Linked DNA regions of Cricetulus griseus. The protein of the gene in region 2 interacts with the protein of the main gene of each other region in a pairwise test. Links are inferred from orthologs where the notes say so. Each region holds a gene or a part of one and is shown on either strand. Other genes may lie near its edges.

Region 1 (6,987 bases), on a different chromosome or scaffold from region 2:
CTTCTGGAGCAATGAGCAGACCTCTGGGGCTAGGTAGTCAAACCATGGTGTATCACTATTGTTTGAACTGTGAGTGGATGGATGGACTCTTTAACAAGTAGCTGAAACGGTGCTTATAGCACATTCCAGCTAGACCACAGGGACAAGAACACACTCAGAGCTTCCCTTTTTTCCTCAGTCTCATTCAGGCCTGAACACCCTGCCCCAGAGAGTCCTGCAGAAGGAGTCTGCTGTGACATCTGCACTTGCCCTCATGAACCGGTCCAATGGCCAGTCCACAGGTACCTGGGACAATGGGGAGAGGACTGGCCCAAGGGGACCAGAATCCAAGAGAGGGTATAAGGCGAGAATGTCAAAGAGGAACTCAACATGCCTGCTCTCTCCTTAGCTGCCCCTGGCCAGAAGTTGGCTGAAAATGTCAGTCGGGGCTCCAATGCCTTGTAAGTACCCCAGAGTAAGTCGGGGAACTTAAACTGTGGTGAGGCTGAAATGGGGAAATTAAAGGGAACACAGATAGAGAGAAATCAAACACCTTAGAATCTGAGCCAGCCAGCCCTGAGCTAGCTGCCTTCCCCCCACTTTATTAATCAGGCGGTCCCTCACTATTGACGACTTTGAGATTGGGCGTCCTCTGGGCAAAGGCAAATTTGGAAATGTGTACTTGGCTCGGGAGAAAAAAAGTCATTTCATCGTGGCACTCAAGATCCTCTTCAAGTCTCAGATTGAGAAGGAGGGAGTGGAGCACCAGCTGCGCCGAGAGATCGAAATCCAGGCACACCTGCAGTATGCTACTCACCCCTGGCCCTGGCCCCTCTGCCAACCTCATCACCCCACATTCCTATTTCTGCATCCCCAGCCCTGTCTTACACCATCTGGACCACCTACCCAGCTCTTCCTTATACTTCCACCCTGATCTAGGTCTTTGCCATCTGTCCTGTCTCCTAGATGCAAGCCGAAGCTTCCTTTCTCTTTGCCCCAGACATCCCAACATTCTTCGGCTCTACAACTACTTCTATGACCGGCGTAGGATCTACTTGATACTGGAATATGCCCCGAGGGGGGAACTCTACAAGGAACTACAGAAGAACAGAACTTTCGATGAGCAGCGGACAGCCACGGTCAGGATCCGGTGTGGGGCATGAGGCTGTGGCTATTGCTGGAAGTGGAGGCCTGTTTGACCTTCTGCTATGAACTCTCGTAGATCATGGAGGAGCTGTCGGATGCACTGATGTACTGCCACAAGAAGAAGGTGATTCACAGGGACATAAAACCTGAGAACCTGCTGTTAGGTCTCCAGGGCGAACTGAAGATTGCGGACTTTGGCTGGTCTGTGCATGCTCCCTCCCTGAGGTATGGTGGGGCTCGGGGGCTGTCCCTCGTGTGAGGCTGTGATATACAGCTCTTCTGCAAGTTGTTCCTTGAGATGGGGTTTGTCTCCATGCAATATAGATGTAGCAAAGTCTTTACAAAAATAGGTAACACAATAATTCATGCTCTAAATTTTCTACTCTTTCTATGAAATATAGTGGGCCCTCTCTTACCATATCATTGTGGAAACTCCCACATGATTGATTGATTGATTGATTGATTGATTGATTGATTGATTGAAACAGGGTCCTATGTAGCACAGAATGACTTCAAACTCACTATATAGCCAAAGATAACCTTAAATTTCTGATCACCCTCCAAACATAGCTGAGTTACAGGCAAGCATCACCATGTCAAGTTTACCCCTGCCGACCCTGTTCATTCTAAGGAGATACGGCCTCACCGAGTTCCCCGGGCTGTTTTTAAAGGCCCAGGTGCAAATGAGTATCTGGTATCACAGGCATACGCTGACATGCCTGGTTACCAAGGTCACATTTTATTTGATTTGGTTTGGTTTTAGTGTTGAGGATGGAACCCAGGGCATTGCCTATGTTAGGAAAATGCTCTTTCACTGAGCCACATCCCTCAGAACCGCTTCCCAGTTTTTTAACTGTTTGGTTTTTTTTGAGACAGCGTTTCTCTGAGTAGCCCTGGCTATACTGGAACTCACTTTGTAGACCAGGCTGGCGGCCTCAAACTCAAAGAGATCCACCCGCCTCTGCTTCTTCCTGAGTGCTGGGATTAAAGGTGTGCTTACTATTGCTTGGCCTCTTCTTTTTAATAATTTATGTGCATTGGTGTTTTGTCTGCATGCATGTCTGTGTGAGGGTGTCAGATCTTGGAGTTACAGATAATTGTAAGCTGCCATGTGGGTGCTGGGAATTGAACCTTGGTCCTGCAATCAGTGCTCTTAACCACCGACAAATCTCTCCAGACCTCCTCTTCACAGTTTTGTTTGTTTGTTTGTTTGGGCTTTTTTTTTTTTGGTTTTTTGAGACAGGGTTTCTCTGTGTAGCTTTGGAGCCTATCCTGGCACTCAAGCTGGAGACCACGCTGGCCTCGAACTCACAGAGATCCGCCTGCCTCTGCCTCCCAAGTGCTGGGATTAAAGGCATGCACCACCAACGCCCGGCTCTCTTTACAGTTTTTAGACAAGATTTTACCCTGTAGGCCTACCTGGCCTCAGACTGACAATTTACCTCAAATGTCCAATTAAGCCAGAGGTAGTGGCTTATTCCTTTCAGTCCAGCCCTAGTGAGGCAATGGAAGGTGGATCTCTCTGAGGTTAAGTCCAGTCTGGTCTACTTAGTGAGTTCCAGGCCAGCCAAGGCTGTATTATAGAGAGAACCTGTATCAATATTAACAAAACAAAAATCTTGCCAAGGATTGGGATTAGAGGTGTATATCACAGTATCTGGTGACCTGATCATTGTTTAACACTTCTTGGTATTGCACAGTAAAAATATAAACCGACTTATTTAAGTAGTGTATATTCGGTGGATATTAGAGATGTTTTCTGTTTCTTCTTTGAAATGAGCATTGCCCTCATCTCTGATTGTTTTTATTTATTTTTTACTTATTGAGATTAAGATAGCTGGGCGGTGGTGATGCACACCTTTAGTCCCAGCACTTGGGAGGCAGAGGCAGGCAGATCTCTGAGTTTGAGGCCAGCCTGATCTACAGAGTTAGTTCCAGGACAGTCTCCAGGACAGTCTCCAAAGCTATACACAAAGAAACTCTGTCTCAAAAAAACAAAAAATTAAGATAATCCATTAGTGTGGCCAGACCTTCCTGGGATCTCTGAGCTGCCTACTATCAAGTAAAGAGAAAAGAGAGGCTGATTTTTTCGAGGCCCTACCCACTTCTCATCCCATCAGGAGGAAGACCATGTGTGGCACCCTGGACTATCTGCCCCCAGAGATGATTGAGGGGCGCATGCATAACGAAATGGTAGACCTGTGGTGCATCGGGGTGCTCTGCTATGAACTGATGGTGGGGAACCCACCCTTTGAGAGCCCTAGCCACAGTGAGACATACCGTCGGATTGTCAAGGTAGGATACCTGCCTGGGCTCTGTGTGCTGTGGAAGCCAGGGTCTGGGGTGGGCAGGGTAGATTTATAGGGCTCTGCACAGTCTCCCTATTTCATGAGCAGTACTTATTCTCTGACAACTTCATACAAATGCACCTTGATCACCCACCCCGACTCCTTTCCCAACACATGCCCCACCCACCGTCATGTCCTTTTTCTTTTTATAGCCCCCTGAGACCAGCTAGTGCTGCCAGCAACCTACCTGTACCCACACTCCCAAAGGAAAATGACTTCCTTTCTTTCCCTCAGCAGCCATCCATTGTTAATAATGCCTCCTTTGGGGGTTGCAAAAATCTCTTGAGTTGTCAAGGAAAATGTAGTCAGGGTAACACAGGTGAAACCTTTCTCTTTTCTTCCTCTGCAGGTGGACCTGAAGTTCCCTCCTTCTGTACCTGAGGGGGCCCAGGACCTCATCTCCAAGCTGCTCAAGCATAAACCCTCAGATCGGCTGCCCCTGGCCCAGGTCGCAGCTCACCCTTGGGTGCGGGCCCACTCTAGGAGGGTACTGTCTCCCTCTGCCCTTTAGACTGCTTTCTTCATTTTTGTCTCTGTTGTTTGTATATTTGTGTATGTGTTGGGGGGAGGGAGGGTTGCTCACAACCATCCCCAAATCCCGTTCTAAGGAATCTGACCTGTCTTCTGACCTCCACAGGCAAAACCATGCACACATGTGGTGCACATATGTGCAGACAAAACATATATAAAACAACAACAAAAAAAACACAGTACTGGAGAGATGGCTGAGCAGGGCTGTTTTTCCAGAGAACCAGGAGTTCAGTTCACAGTATACCACATGGTGCTTACAACCATCCGTAGCACTAGGCATGGATGTGGCACACATATACACAGTCAGAATTTTAAGGAGCCATAGAGTCTGATTTCTTTCAATTTGCCAAATGTTTTAAAATACCGTAAGTCAAAAATGCATTAATCCGTGAAACATGTTTAGTCTAGCCTATCTTAAAATTCAGAAAAATTATGTAGCACAAAGTATATTTTATAATAAAGTCTTAAATATTTCATGTTTTTGAATACTGTTTTGAGAGTAAAAAGTAGTGGTTATACTTTGGTAACATTATGAAGCCAAAAACCCCAAGTTAGCTTGGCATGTTGGTCCATGCACTCAGGGGGCTGAGTCAGGAGAATCACCATAAGTCTGGGACATCTTGGACTACAAATCACGTTCCAGGACACACAGTGATGCAAGTAAAACCTTTGCCTGCTCATGGGACTCTCTTCCTCCTGTTGGGCTGCTGTGTCCAACTTAAATTTGAAAGTTTTGCATAAGGGGACAGAGGAAGCTAGGGAGGAGTGGGGTGAATAGAACAAAGCATTATGGGGCTGGACTCAGCACTTAAGAACTCAGATTTGGTTCCAAAGAACTCAGGTTAGGCAAATTCACAACCATGGGATCTGACCTTTTTGTGGCTGTACACATGCACATGAATTTAAAAAAGTGTAATGGTATACATGTTTGAAAATGCCACAATTAAGTCTATTTCTTTATTATATTCTAATAAATTGTAATTTTAAGAAAATCCACAATTTGGTCAAAGTCCTCAGGAGCCAGTCACTTGCCCCAAACCCATCAGCTAGTAATCAAACCCCAGAACATAACTGTTTGGGGACATCAAAGGTTCAAACCATAGCACCATCCTATATATGGACTATTATGTAGTTCTTTTTAAATAAACATTTAATCAGTTGGTGGTGGTGAAACTATGAGAACATCTGGAACAGAGAGGAGCAGAGAACCAACTCAAAAAAAATTGTTCATTTATTTTGAGTGTGTTCCATGTTTGCTCTCACACCATGGCTCTTACGTGGAAGTTGAAGGACAAGTTCCCTCCTTTTCTACCATGTGGGACCCAGGGATTTAACTTGGGCTGCTGGGCTGCTAGTTGCCTACATCTCATAATCAGCTATATCTTGTGGATAAAAAATTATGTGTCTGCTCTGAACATACAAGAAATAAAGCTTGTTGGGGGTGGGGGTCAGGTGTATGGTGCCTCATGCCTGAATCCTAGCACTAGGGAGGCTCAGGCAGAAACATCTTGAGTTCAAGGCAAGCTGGGCTGCAGGAGTGTGGGCCACAAGACTTAGCCATATTGCTTAGAAGAGCAGACAGTGGGAAGGGGAGCACAGGAAAGGAGTTATGTAATGGAACTACTGTCTGTTGTGGAATGTTTGCTATAGGAGACAGGTGGAGTAGGCAGAAGACTAAGATGTATGAAGTGATGGTAGCTCAGCCTCACGTGAAGGCACTACATTCTGCCACTCTGGAAAGGCAACAGTACTCAAAACAAATTGGTGGAAAAACTAGCTAACAAGGTCAATAAAACAAGCCAGGCATTGGTGGTGCACACCTTTAATCCCAGCACTAAGGAGGCAGAGGCAGGAGGAGTTCGAGACCAGCCTGGTCTATGAGAGCTAGTTCCAGGACAGCCTCCAAAGCCACAGAGAAACCCTGTCTTTTGAAAAACAAAAACAACAACAACAAAAATCAATAAAACAAATAGCAGCACATGCTGTTGAGGATCAGGGGAAAGGAAAGCACTTATTCCTTGCTGGTGGGAGCGCAAACTTGTACAGCCACTATGGAAATCAGTAGAACAGTTCCTCAGGAAGCTGGAGATGGATGCACCTCAAGATCCTGCTATATCACTCTTGGGCATATACCCAAAGGACTCTACATCCTACTACAGGGACACTTACTCATCCATGACCATTCATAATAGAATTAAAAACAGCCTAGATGTCCATCAACTGATGAATGGATAACGGAAATGTGATATTTTTACACTACGACACTACAGGTGAATGAATAGAACTAGGAAAAAAATTATTCCGAGTGGGGTAACCCAGGCCCAAAAAGACAAAGATTGTTTTCTCTTATTTGTGGATGTTAGCTTTTAAGCTTTTGATGTGTGCTACAGTTTGAATAAGCACAAAGGTTAGGTACCTTGTAAACAGCTAGGGGTTAGGAGAGGATCTCTAAGAACAGGAAATAGAATATGTTATGGAGAAACGGGAGGGCTGGCAACTAACTAAATGGCATTTTTAAAAACATAGGAAGGCCAGACAGTGGTGGCACACACCTTTAATCCCAGCACTTCAGAGACAGAGGCCACCCTGGTCTACAGAATGAGTACCAGGACAGTCAAGGCTACACAGAGAAACCCTGTCTCGAAAAACCAAATAAACAACTATATGAAAAATCTGTAGAAGCTTCCTAAAATCTATACATATATGAAAGGAATCTAAATGGAATCACCAAATAGTAGGGAAGACAATACTAGACATCTTATGCCACCAAGTAAAACCTCCAGTGCCAGGGATGGTTCCATCTTGTTTAGTGGTTGGTCAAAGGGATCCTTTTGAGCTCTCTAAAGATCAAAGGCTGTTGCTAAGCCTATTCGTTACTCTTCCCAATCTAATGCTAAGTCCCCATTGCTGAAGACAACACTTACTTGTGTAACACAACACAGAGAAGTCGAGCCGGTGTCTAACTAGAAGCTTCACTCCTACT
Region 2 (6,987 bases):
CATAGCATACACAAAAAATGCACTAAACACAAACTAAAAAGAATGACTAATGTATTTTTCTTTTCATCTATTTTTATCAAGTTTTCTGCAATAAGTATGTACTGTTTCTAGTAAATACATAAACCAATAAAATATATGTCCTATTTCAACTGAGATCTTTTAGTTTTTTTGAGACAGGGATCCTTTGTGTAGCCCTGGCTGTCCTGGAACTCAAAAATCCATGTGTCTCTGCCTCCCAAGCACTATGATCAGAGGCGTGCACCACCACCATCAGACACAGATCAGATCTTGATCTCAAGTAAAATACACATAAATTGCATGATGTTATGTCAAGATTAAAATCTTAATGTACCTCTCTCCTGCTGGTGGGGAAGGGTACAAGAAATCCAACCAGGCTTTGCATATCCTAGGCAGATGCTCTACCACCCCACTTCATCCCTGGTCCTTTTTCTTTTTTATTTCATTAACATTGTTATTAATGCTATTAAGTAACTGTATTATTAATTTTACAAAACTTAGTTTTTTCTTTGAGTCTTAGGAACTACACTCTGCCTGACACATACTAAGCATGCACCTGCAAATCTGCAACCCTGTAGGTTCTGTCCAGCTTGTCTGTTTTGTGTGTGTGGTGCTAGGGATCAAACCCAGGGTTTTGTGCATGCTAGGCAAGCACGTTACCAGTAAACTACATTCTGGGCCCTTTCTAAGTTTTGGGTTTTTTTGTTTTGTTTTGTTACTCAACACGTTTTCTCTGTGTAACAACCTTGGCTGTTCTAGAACTCCCTGTAGACCAGGCTGGCCTTGAACTCAAGAGACCCACCTGCCTCTGCTTCCTGAGTGCTGGGATTAAAGGTGTGCAACCACCACCCAGCTCTCCTGAGGATTTTTTTTTTGTTTTTTGTTTTTGTTTTTTTAACTTCAGCTGGTTGAACCTGTAGAGCTCATGTGTAAAGTTAGCTAACTATATTTACAATTACAACCAATTTTAATAAATATTAAATATTAGTAGTATTAGTAATATTAAGTAGCAAACAGGTCAGCAATATATCATTAGGTATTTGTTTTAACAACCAATAAATTCTCCTGTCAATCTGTGATTTTTCTCTTTGTGTGGTGCTGAGGATGGGGCCTAAGAAGCTTACATGCTAGGCAGTACTCTACCACTGAACTATATTACCAACCTGCAGGCCCCATATACTGGCTATTTTATTCAAGAGCTTTGAAAAACAGTACTATTATCTCTATTTTACAAATGAAGAAGCTGAAGCAAAAACATTGTATGCCCAAGGCTGGAGAGATGGCTGGGGTTAAGAGCACCAACTGCTCTTCCAGAGGTCCTGAGTTCAATTCCCAGCACCCACATGGTGGCTCACAACCATCCGTTATGAGATCTGGTGCCCTCTTCTGGTGTGCAGATATACATGGAAGCAGAATGTTGTATACATAATAAATAAAATCTAAAAGAAATTCCCTTCCTTTAAAAAAAAAAAAAAAAAAAGACTATGCCCATCATTAAGTAATGACTGCATCAACAGTCGAACTCAGGTGTTAAGACCTCTCTTCTGTGGGTCACTGCCCTTGGGCTTCTGCCAGCTCCCATCTGACAGGGATGGGAGTGTCTGGTTAGGAATACTCCCTCAAAGACATTCAGGGATCCAGGAGAGAGGCAAAGAACTATTACTTTTAACAGATACATGTAAACATTTCTATTATTTAAGTAAACTAATATTTAAATATTGAGTTTTTACTTCTATTAAGTACTAATATAACCTATGGACTGCAGAAATAAAAGCTTTTTGAGATTCCCCAAGAGCTTTTTAAAATATAAAATATACAAAAACCTGTGCATAGTGACACATGTCTGTAATCCCAGCATTTAGAAGGCTGAAACCACAAGTTTTAAGGTCTAGGCAACATAGCAAGTCCTATGTCAGTTTTGGCTATATACTAAATATGTAAAACAAAATAAAGATATAAAAATTTGTGGGGCTGTTAAGATGGCTGATAATGGTAATGGATAAGCATTATGACCCAAGTTTAGTCCAAGCTCGACTGTCCACAACAATCCCACAAATTGTCCCCTGCTCTCTATGCTTGTGCGCGTACACTAGAACACCAACACACACACACACACACAAAACAAAAACTCATCTCGAAAAAACAAAACTTTTCCAGTTGGGTGTAGAGATGCACTCCTTTAAAAGAACTCGGGAGTAGAGGCAGGTGAGACTTTTTGAGTCTGAGGCCTAACAATCTAGTCCTTATAAGAATTTTCATGGCTAGGTTCTTCGATGAGACTAAAGAGACCAAAATATCATCTTTGCCTTTTCATATAGCCACCCAGAGCATACTATCTCTTTATTTCTTAGAGAGAGAGAGAGAATGCAGAAACCTATGGAGATCAGAGGTGCAAGATCCCCCTGAGTTTTAGGTGGTTATGAGCTGCCATGTAGGTGCTGGGAACCAAACTCAGGTCCTCTGCAAAAAACAGTACACAGTCTTAACTGCTAAGCCATCTCTCCAGTTCCCTAAGAACACTTTCACAAAACAGCATATGTAATTCTAATATAGTCATTTTTAGGCACCTACTTGTATGCCCCTAATTATTTTGGTGTTTCTTAAACTTAACAAGTATTGGTAATGGCAAAGCACTTTCCTATTATACACCCAACACAAGAAAAAAATTAATTATCCTTTGATACAGAACACAATCTTAAAATTATTAGCTTAAATGTTTTCTACCTGTTTAAACATGATACCCACTTTATGGGTGCTGAAGGTCAAATATGGGACTTAATGCATACTACACAAGCAGCAAGCACTCTACCAACTTAACTACATTCCCAACAGTTTTTCCCTTTGTTTTTTTTTTTTGTTTTGGTTTTTCAAGACAGGGTTTCTATGTGTAACACCCTAGCTGTCCTGGAACTTGCTATGTAGACCAGATTCAAGAGATCTGCCTGTCTCTGCCTCCCGAGTACTGCTGAGACTAAAGGCGTGCGCCGCCGCCACCACCACCTGGCCTGAACAGTTTTCTTAAAATATGTGTGTGTGTGCACATCAGTTATTGTCTGTGTGAGTAAATGTACAGAGGGCAGAAGAGGGCAGCAGTGGAAGCCTCAGATCTGAGTTACAGGCAGCCACTGGAAGCTAAGCTAGTTGGTGGCACTGGGATCTGCACCACCACCCTCATGATTGTGCAGCACATACTCTTAGCCACTGAGTTATCTCTGAGGTCCCAGTTATTACTTTATATAGAAAAAAAATCTTGCCAGGCATGATGGTATATACCTTTAAAGCCAGCAGCTGGAAGGCAGAGACAGACAAATCTCCTTAGGTCACCCTGACCTACATATAGAGTTCCAGACCAGCCAAGGCTACACAGTACGACTTTTTTAAAAAAAATAAAGGGGAGGCTGAAGAGATGGCTCAGCTGTTAAAAGCACTGGCTGCTCTTCCAGAGGACCCAGGTTCAATTCCCAGCACCCATATCACAGCTCACAACTGTCTGTAATTCCAAGATCTGACACCCTCACACAGACATACATTCAGATAAAATACCAATGCAAATAAAATAAAAAATTGCTTAAAAAAATAAAGGACCAAGGTTCACTTCCCAACGCCCACATGACAACTCACAACTGCCTCTAACTCCAGTTCCAGGGGACCTAACACCCGAAATACAGACATACATATGCAGGTAAAACACCAATGCATATGGAATAAAAATAAAGTAAAAGAAAAATATTCAAAAAGTTGCATTAAAAGCCAGGTGTTGGTGGTGCACGCCTTTAATCCCAGCACTCGGAAGGCAGAGGCAGGCGGATCTCTGTGAGTTTGAGACCAGCCTGGTCTACAAGAGCTAGTTCCAGGATAACCTCCAAAGCCACAGAGAAACCCTGTCTCGAAAAACCAAAAAAAAAAGTTGAAATTACTTCAGGGTATGGTATTTGTGTAAGCTAAAGCAATATACAAAATCTGACTGCCAAAACATACAAGATAAAAGATAATTCCTGTTTAAAACATTCACTCAAGTAAAACAATGTTTCTTACCTACTGTTTTCCACAGCCTTCATAGCATACTCAACTTGAAAGACTCTTCCATCAGGAGAGAACGTAGAGGCTGACAGGTCATACTGACAACAAAGAGAGCAACAGAGTTTATAGGACATGTCTTCGCCAACAACAGTCATATAATTTTTTCCAAACAGCTCAAACACCAGGAATGTTATATCCTAGTGGAAAATGCTTTGTTGCTCAGAGATAACTACACACCTTAGATGTCTCCTACTGAAAAGTAATGGGTCTAAATAACAAGAGATATGGCTCAGCTGTTAAGAGTACCTGTTTCTGTTGCAGAGGATATGGGTTGGGTTCCCAGAACTCACATGATGGTTTAGAACCATCTGTAATTCCAGTTCCAGGGGATCCAAAGCCCTCTCCTGGCCTCCATTTGGCATGTAGAGGATCCACATACATACACGTAACATAAAATATCTAAAAAGGAAGTTTAAATAATGGATACAAATCTAATTTGAGCTAATAAAAAAATTACAAAAATGAATACAAACCTTAAGGTCAGAACTTTTTTTATTTTTAAGATTTTATTATATATACAACATTCTGCTTCCATGTACATCTGCACACCAGAAGAGGGCACCAGATCTCATAACGGATGGTTGTGAGCCACCATGTGGATGCTAGGAATTGAACTCAGGACCTCTGGAAGAGCAGTTGGTGCTCTTAACCTCTGAGCCATCTCTCCAGCCCCAAGGTCAGAACTTTTTTACACAACTTTTTTTTTTTTTTTTTAAAGTATTGCTGCTGGATATGGTGGCACAGGCCTTTAATTCCAGCACTCACTCAGGAGGCAGAAGCAGCCAGATGTCTGAGTTGGAAGCCAGCCTGGTATACAAAGTGAATTCCAGCCTGAGTTCAGGGCTGTTATCGAGAAACCCTGTCTCAAAAAAAGGAGTATTGTATAAATATTAAAGTCAGATCATTTACATTTGTATCTAAGCCAGGAACCAAGGAAAGACCCTGGTTAAATAAATCATTTAGTATTCATCAACATTTAATGAGCACATACTGTGCTCATACTGTGGAAGGAATAAGCATAGCCCAAGCCAAGGAACTGGTGTCTTTTAAGTGGAGGAGGAACAAGCAAGAGTGAGTAAATCTAAAACATGCTAGAGAGCCAAACTAGGTTGGGGAAGGTAGTTTACATTTTATTCTTGATGTGAATGAGGAGGTGGTGTGATCTACTTCACATTGTTTACATTTACCTATAGTGCATGTGCCCTGGTGTACATCGAGAGGTCAGGGGACAACTTTCCAGAGTCAGCTCTCTTCCTACCATGTGGGACCTGGGAACTGAACTCAGCATTTCAGGGATTGAACTCAGCTGTTCCAAGTCTTGGTAGCAAGCACCTTTAACCTTTACCAAGTGAGCCATTTCACAGGCCCAAATTCAAGCATTTAAAAAAAAAAAAAAAAAAAAAAAAAAAAAAAAAACAACCCGGGTGTTGGTGGCGCATGCCTTTAATCCAGCTTTCGGGAGACAGAGGCAAGCGGATCTCTGTGAGTTCCAGACCAGCCTGGTCTACAAGAGCTAGTTCCAGGATAGGCTCCAAAGCCACAGAGAAACCCTGTTTCAAAAAAAAAAAAAAAAATCTGACTTGGGCTGAAACAAAAAAAATCACTCTGACTTGGGCTGAAACAAATTTAGAGGCAACAAGTGTGAGCTCACAATAGTGGCTTTGACTATACAATAAAGAAGGAACTAACCTTTGGGGACACAATTAAACATAAAAACAAAAATAAAAAAGCACTTGTAGAGCTAGGAATGGAACTCACCTAGATTTGGAACTCAGTGACTTGCCCTGGGTTGGCCTTTCCTTCTGCCCAGCAGTAGAGGTTAGAGGGGGGAAAAAAAAACCCAAATGGACAGAAATTTACAACTCTTGAGGGACACAACTCTTGAGGGACCTGAAGCCAGGAAAGAGGCCTTCAACAGTGAAACTTCCTAAGGCTTGGTTATTACTTTCATACTAAATATTCCACATGGAATATCAGATGACCATCGATGTTTGGACGGCAACCCTGACACAACTGCAAAGCAAATTTACTGTGAGGTGCATTACTAAGCACTAATCCCAACAAACGTTATCACATGACATTACTACTTCAGTACCTCGTAACCAATTAAATCATTCCAAACACCAGTAAGTAGATTTAATTCTGAGCATAGAAAAAAAGTTTTTTAAAGACGAGGTCTCTTTATGTTGTCCTGGAACCCACTGTGTAGACCAGGTTGGCCTGGAAATCAGAGATCCTCCTGCCTCTATCTCCCAAGTGCTGTGATTAAGGGTGTGCGCCACCACATCAGGCGAACATCAAAATCATGGAAATAAGGATAACCAAGAAAACCTATTACTCATTACCTCTACTGCAGATAATCAACAGATATCCGTTAAGTAGTTAACATATGGAGACAAAGGAAAGGTGGAGGAAATCACTGCACACGGGATGTGTTTAGCAAATTAAAAAGCCCAACTTGCAAATCTTCAAAACTCTTCACAAAAATCTGAGGCACTGCGGTCCCTAGATAACCCTTGCCAAAAATAATTCGTTCGGGAAAAGCAAACGAAGGAAAAGGCAAAGAACTCATGCGATCGAGCCTTTGAGGTCCTGTCACGATAGGTGTCCGGGGACTGCCTGGTGACGTGAGGCCCCAAGAGGCCCGTGAGTCAGCGGCACCGCAGCACCCGCACGGGCGGGCCACACGACGGGCTCCAGAGCCACCCAGACGCAGCAAGCAGCAGGGGCTCGCCTGGGGTGGGGGGGCGCGAATGCTCGCACTAGGGCAGGCCGCACCAGTTTTCACTTTCGGTTTCTTCAAGCAGCGGAAGAAAGTGACTCAGCAACCCTGGTTTTGGCTGCACTGGGGCGGCCACAACGGGCCCGAAACGCCGCCGAAGCCGGGGT

The links. The genes of interacting proteins can lie anywhere in the genome.
Region 1: the proteins of Psma3 (region 2) and Aurkb interact in a two-hybrid assay, tested with the Homo sapiens proteins (2 studies listed by BioGRID and IntAct). The link is inferred for Cricetulus griseus from reciprocal best matches to the Homo sapiens genes PSMA3 and AURKB.

Annotation. Positions count from the first base shown.
Region 1 is NC_048600.1:82,923,958-82,930,944, forward strand, and holds the end of Aurkb (aurora kinase B), read left to right. Parts: intron 1-178; coding exon 179-281; intron 282-388; coding exon 389-440; intron 441-591; coding exon 592-783; intron 784-945; coding exon of another isoform or gene 946-979; coding exon 980-1,118; coding exon of another isoform or gene 1,119-1,131; intron 1,132-1,201; coding exon 1,202-1,350; intron 1,351-3,245; coding exon 3,246-3,420; intron 3,421-3,822; coding exon 3,823-3,984; 3' UTR 3,985-4,480; downstream 4,481-6,987. UniProt on the Homo sapiens protein: Serine/threonine-protein kinase component of the chromosomal passenger complex (CPC), a complex that acts as a key regulator of mitosis.
Region 2 is NC_048598.1:132,402,451-132,409,437, forward strand, and holds the start of Psma3 (proteasome subunit alpha type-3), read right to left. Parts: upstream 4,495-6,987; 5' UTR 4,480-4,494; coding exon 4,345-4,479; intron 4,137-4,344; coding exon 4,054-4,136; intron 1-4,053. UniProt on the Homo sapiens protein: Component of the 20S core proteasome complex involved in the proteolytic degradation of most intracellular proteins. This complex plays numerous essential roles within the cell by associating with different regulatory particles.